Linked DNA regions of Sus scrofa. The protein of the gene in region 1 purifies or fractionates together with the protein of each later gene. This does not show direct contact. Links are inferred from orthologs where the notes say so. Each region holds a gene or a part of one and is shown on either strand. Other genes may lie near its edges.

The links. Proteins that work in one complex are often made in the same cells at the same time.
Region 2: the proteins of STRADB (region 1) and CAB39 purify together in Homo sapiens (affinity purification with mass spectrometry; 3 studies listed by BioGRID and IntAct, counting the BioPlex papers as one, with this or other methods). This does not show direct contact. The link is inferred for Sus scrofa from reciprocal best matches to the Homo sapiens genes STRADB and CAB39.

Annotation. Positions count from the first base shown.
Region 1 is NC_010457.5:105,081,574-105,083,929, forward strand, and holds the end of STRADB (STE20-related kinase adapter protein beta), read left to right. Parts: intron 1-325; coding exon 326-368; intron 369-561; coding exon of another isoform or gene 562-656; intron 657-1,026; coding exon 1,027-1,170; 3' UTR 1,171-1,856; downstream 1,857-2,356. UniProt on the Homo sapiens protein: Pseudokinase which, in complex with CAB39/MO25 (CAB39/MO25alpha or CAB39L/MO25beta), binds to and activates STK11/LKB1.
Region 2 is NC_010457.5:131,491,384-131,495,374, forward strand, and holds the start of CAB39 (calcium-binding protein 39), read left to right. Parts: upstream 1-1,191; 5' UTR 1,192-1,570; intron 1,571-2,336; exon of another isoform or gene 2,337-2,454; intron 2,455-3,991. UniProt on the Homo sapiens protein: Component of a complex that binds and activates STK11/LKB1. In the complex, required to stabilize the interaction between CAB39/MO25 (CAB39/MO25alpha or CAB39L/MO25beta) and STK11/LKB1.

The DNA.
Region 1 (2,356 bases):
GCATTAGTATTTAGAAAATAAGGTGTGTGTCTTTTTGATCTTTTTTTTTTTTAGCCTCTTAACGCCTAGTGTAGTTCCTTAGAATTAGTAAGTGCATAATAAACGTTAAGTCATGGACCAATTGAATGTTATCTTTAGAATTGATTCTTCTCATTAGTCAAAGTTGAAGCTAAGAGTTTGGCTTCCTGACATATATTGTTTTTCCTTTTAATTTTTGTGTATGGTTTTAGAGCTCTAGACCTAAGTTCTAGTATAGTTTACACAAAAAAATCTATATTCTAATGTGAGGTTCTTTTTTAAAATAATTTTTTCAAAAAAATTTCAGGCCATCAGCAAGCAGTTTATTGTCCCATGTTTTCTTCAAACAGGTGAGATGATCTATTTTATGTTGTCTAGATGTTTTTTTAATACTATTAAAAAGTCATGTCATTTTGTTGGCTTGATGAGACAGTTTCATTACCAAGATTCTTAATAATAACTTTCATACAAGATAGAGTTAAAATCAAGAAAACCCTTTTGGTAGTTCAATTACAGACTTTTTAAAAAATATTTCCATTCTAGAGTTCTCTTATGGCACAGTGGATTAAGGACCAGTGTTGTTGCTACTTTGGTGCAGGGGGTTCAGTTCCTGGCCCGGAAACTTTCACATGCCCCAGGTGCTCCACTCTTTCCCCCCTGCCCTTACACCAAAAAAATAAAAAGAAAATGAAATATTTCCACTTTAAAAAACAAAATGAGTGAAAATATGGAATGTTGTCTTGTATTACTTTATCCTTAGTTTATATTTTGATTAGAGCATTTTGTTTTTCTGTATTGGCTAGAAATGAAGCAAGGGCAAAATAATCTGATAAAAATCCGTTTATTTGGCTGTTACTTCTTAGATGACCAGAATCAGAGGCGTTTTTAAGTGAAAATGCCTAAAAACAATGTAAACACTTTTAACATTTCTTTGAAAGTCACTTTTGCTATTGTAACTAATGTATTGAATTCATGTACCAATAGCCTTATTTTGAGTTTCTTTAACAGATGAAAGAAGAAAGCCAGAGTTCAATACTTTCACTGTTGCCTCCTGCTTATCGCAAGCCATCAATAGCACTGCCTCCAGTGTCACCTTGGACTGAGCCGGAATGTGATTTTCCTGATGAAAAAGACTTAAACTGGGAATTCTAGGGCTGCCAAATCCTTTTATGTCCTTTATACTTGACATTTTCTCCCTGCTGCTTTTTCTTCTGTATTGCTAGGTACAAATACTAGAATTATACTTGAAAATACAGTTGGTGCACTGGAGAATCTGTCATTTAAAACCACTCTGTTCAAAGGAGCGTGAGTTTGTAGCTCCTTTCGTTAGTTCAGAGTGCTATTATAACTCCAGGGAAACTTTGGAATTATGATGTAAGTGCATTTTGTGACATCTTTTCTCAGTTTTTTTCCCCCGAAGCTGTGACTTCTGTTTGATCTCTTAATGTAATTTTTGAGCCAGTTACTTTTTTCAGCGTTTTGCTGCCCTCAGGGGAATGAGTCCTCAGAGGACAGAGCTTCCAAGTACATTTTTTACTTCCAGATTCTCTAGCCTTTTTGATCAGCTGTTGTTACACCAACAGGCTAGTTTATCCTGGCATCAAACCCTTTTTTGGTAGAAAGGAAAATGTTTATATGGTCCCATTTTATTCTGTTAATCCTTATGGTAATATCAAACTGAGCCTCACATTAAATGATTCACTTGAAAATACATAGAGAAGGTGTAATTTGCTTTTTTTATTTTTAAAAGGCTGAAGTAACACTTTTCTACTTATGTAAATTATAGATCCTAAATTCACGCACCCTGTGGGAATTCAATAAAGATTTATTGAATTGAGTTTATGGTTAATAATTTTCTTTGTGTGGTTTGACAAAACTCAAACATAGATTCTAATTTGTTTCACCAAGGGAAGCTCTTTCTCAAACAAAGAGAGTTATTTATATAACCCGTTGCATTGAAGACAACCTGATATTTGAGTCAATGGAGACAGAAGATCTTCCAGCCCTTTATGTGATTATTCTTGCTCCTATAGGGGAGATGACATGGAGATCTTAGTGGTTTTACCTTACTGACAGAAGAGATATGCTGTCTTAAAAAGAGTATGTAGTTTGAACTGTGACAAGTTGAGACTTATCTCAATTAGTAGATTTTCTTAATTTGCACTTTATTTAACATTACATAAAAAATTATTTTTATGGGAATTCCTGTTGTGGCTCAGCGGGTTGTGGACCCAGTGTTGTCTCCGTGAGGTTGCGGGTTCAATCCCTGGCCTCACTCAGTGGGTTAAGGATCCGGTGTTGCCACAAGCTGTGGCATGGGTTGCAGATGTGGCTCAGA
Region 2 (3,991 bases), about 26 Mb from region 1:
GGTCTTGCCAGTCTTCTTATCACCAGATTATTTCAGAAGACTTCTAACTGATGTCCTGGCTGAAGCCCTCAGGCCGCTCAGGCTGGTCTTCACACCGCAATCAGAGTTATCCTTTTGAAATATTAGACCACATCCTTTCTCTGCTCAAACCCCTCCAAACAGCTCCCCATCTCATTCAGAGTAAAAGCCAAAGTCCTCACTTTAGCCTATAGGGTCTCCCCTCTTCCCTCATCTCCATCCACTCCCCTTTCCCAGGGGTCATGTTTTGCTGCAAGGTATCCCACCTGAGGGGCTTTGTCCTGGCTGTTCCCTCTGCCTTTCCATACACATATCTCACAGCAGGAGCGCTGTAAACAGCAATAGCCTGCACTCTCTCCCCTCCTTAGCCCAATTTCCATAACACTGAAAAGCATCTAATGTCATACATATGTCTGTTTATTTATTTATTGTCTCAGGAGCAGGGTCTCTTTTGTTCACTGCTCCACTATCTAGAAGAGTGCCTGGCACACAGCAGATACTCAAGAACACCTGTTCGATTGCAAATTAAAGAAACAAAAATGTACACGTGTGGCATGTTCATGTACCAGAGTCTGTTGTCAGAGCTTTGCAATGCATTGTCTCGTTCATCCTCATAAACTTATGGTACTGTATGTACTCTTATATTTGTGCATGTGTGTGTGTGTGTGTGAGAGAGAGAGAGAGAGTGGAAGAACATAGGAATGGAGTCAGGCAATAGCCTATGGTGACTGAATGGTGGAGTTGAGGTTTAAATCCAGGCTTTGAATCCTATTAAGAGTGATCATTCTATCACTTTCTACGCTCTCTTGGAGGATGTTAAAATGAGAGTGATCCGTCTCTGGCAAGTATGAAGGAATCAATCTGCACAACTTGGTCCCTGGCCTTTAGCCGAAACGAAGCTTTGTTAAGAGTTCAGGAAGTGGTCGCACAAAGTGGATTTAGGATCCCTCTGGCAAGAGCGCTGAGGCAGAGAAGCGGCTGGGCACCAACACTTCAGTGGCAGGTGAAAGGAGAGGAACTCTTCCCCTCTGCTTCCGCTTTCCCCCAGCCGCCTCCGCCTCAGGCCTCAGCGCGGACTCCTACGCCCGAGTCCGCCCAGCCGCCTGGGGGCGCCCGAGGCTGAAGGGGGCGTTGCGGCGCCGCCCGACGTCGCGCCCTCGGCGGCTGCGCAGTGCGCACGTCAAAGCCGGGCTCGGGCCGGGAGCGGGGAGCGGCGCGGCCTGGGAGAGACTGAGCCTCCGGGAGCCGGGCGAAAGCGAGGGTGAAGGCGGCGCGGGGCCCCGCAGCAGAGCCGTAGCCGCAGCCCAAGAGAGCGAGCGAGCGCAGCAGTGCGGCGGCCGCCGCGGGAGCCCCTGGGCCGCCGTCCGCCCGCGCAGCCGCCGCCGCCGCCGCGGGATCCTGTCGCTGGGAGCAGGAGCGGGCGGAAGACAACGGAGGGGCCGAGCGGCCGAGCCGCGCCGCGGGGACCGAGCGAGCAGCCCGAGGCGTCGGCGGCCGAGGACGGGGACGGCGACGACGCGGAGGCTGAGAGGGAGCCGCCCGGCCCAGCTCCGTGAGTGACCCCCGGCCCGACCCAGCTCGCGGCGTGGACGCCCGCCCGGCTTCCGCCTGCCCTGCCCGGCCCGTCACCGGCCCGGGGCTGCCTCCATTTTCTCGGGTGGTGGAGGCGGCCCCGGCCCGGTATCGGCGGGAGCGGCCCGGTCTGCCCTCTCCGCCCGGCCCGGGCCCCTCGCGGAGCCTACCCCCCTCGTCGTCCTCGCCGGCTCGGCGCCCAGGGGCCTGCAGCCGGGGCTGCGGGGCGCCACGCTCTCCTGCAAGCCCTCCGCAGTTCTTTGGCGGGGCTGGCGGCATGGGGGCGTTCGCGGCCGGAGCCCCGAGGGCAGGCGAGTGCGGGCCGGGCCAACTGTCACTCCCGCCGCGCAAGGGATCCGGCCACCTTGCTCCTGGCCCCTGGTAAACTTCCTGTTATCGGGAGGCAGATAGCATCTCTGTGGTCTGCATTTCGGGAAGATGCCTAACTGTTTTCTGGTTAGGAATTGTGCGGCCAGAGCGTTCCCGAGGTCGGTTGAACCAGCCTGCTCGCTGACTGCCTGCAGGCGCTCTGGTCGGTCCGCGCCGGAGGGATTCGAAGGTGAACCCCGGCTCGCGGTCCCCTCCCCCGAGGAGCTTACATTCTGGCGTGGGTGATAAGGCGAGTACACAAATGACTACGATACCAGGAAGGAGATGATAAGTCCTATGAAAGAACTACAAAATGCTAGAAGGGTACCCGGAGAAGACCGGCCCGATCGATCACTTCCGCCTAGCAGAAATCTGAAGGCTTCCTGGGCGAGGCTGTGCAAAGTGGGGTCTTGAAGGCCAGATGGGATTTGGGAGAGAGGAGGGTTGCAGAAGAGGAGCAGTGTGTTGGAGGAGCAGCAACGCTAGAGGACAAAGGTAAAAAGGCATAGTCGGAAATAGTAGATAATGCAGTTTGTCGTGGGGGGCAGTGGGGGGTAGGCCAAAGAGTTGGGGGGCAGATCCTTGAATGCCGTAGAGGAGCTATTTGAGTGGCATTCTAAGGGTAACTTAGAGCTCATTTCTCAGTGACTCATGGGCCCGGAAATGTAAGCTAGGAGATGTTAAAGGCGCTCTTATGAAAGAAAGGAGAGAAGGAGGCCCAGTACAGAACTGACGTTCTGTGCCTTGAACGTCATGCAGTTTGAGATCGATTTTGACAGCTTTCCGGATATTCAAATAAATCCACGTCCAGGCTAAGCAAAATACCTTTTGTGCAAAGCTTCATTCGATGTTAGGCTCTTAAGAAGTGAGGGAAAGATGTATATAAAATAAGCTCATCTGCACGTAAGGTGTTTCTCTTGGTGCTCTTCACTAAAATGCATCAGAACTTCCAGCGCTCTGTATTAGGTGTCTGCATTTTGGAATTACTGAGCTGAACATCACTTCTTTGAGTTGGCTTTTGGGTAAGGCCATCTACGTTGATGGTTTAAAAAATCAGACTGTCCAACTTTGTATCCCAGAAGATTAGTAACATAGAACTTTTTTTAGGTAAAAATTTCTTTATTAGTTTTTAGTTGTGAAAATTCTTATAGGCGAGCCAGAGGTGAAAATCTGAGGCTTTACTTTGTTTCTTTTTTTTCACCCATATCACTAGCAAATAATTAGCAGCTGTATTTGAAGTTTAGAAATATGATCTATGGAAGCAGCTTAGAACCTTTTTGGTTTTGTAAGAACTTTGTTGTTTGCTCATATGACAAGTGAATGTCAACTTCTCTCAGGTGAAAAGGCTTGTAGAATGCAGGAAGTACATAGAATTTTAAAAAATTATCTTAGCTGTAATCTTACCACTTAGATTTTGTTACTGTTAACATTTTTTCGTATTTCCTTTTCAGTCTTCTTATGTTATTTTTCTCTTAATGAAGTCATCTATAAAGTATATATCTTCTATTAGGCTTTCCTTTTTTTGTCATTAAATATCTCCATATAAAAGGTTTTTAGGGGAGTTCCCTGGTGGTCTAGTGATTAGGATTGGGCACTTTCACCACTGCAGCCCAGGTTCAGTCCCTGGTCTGGGAACTGAGATCCCTCACCATGGCACTGCGGACCATGGCCAGAAATGAATACATAAATCTAAAAAATTTTAATGAATAAATAAAAATTTTTTTAACCAAGTGTAAGGGAAGCTTCTTAAGTGTATTTTTTTCTGACATGTTTGCATTATTTACCTCAGACAAAATGTAGTCATGTTTAATATCTACTGCTGTAGACGGCTTTCTCCAAGCTTTTTCTTGTTTGAAGTATATTTATTGACAGGATCAAGATTTGGATCCTGTTGCTTATTGAATAAAGAAAGATTTTATTACTTGGAGGTGTTGTCATCAGATATGGAAGAGGTCACATATGTGTGCTGTATGAGGGGATGTATTTTTTAAAAGGCACTATAGAAAGGTTGCTTTCATAGCTGCTGTATCTC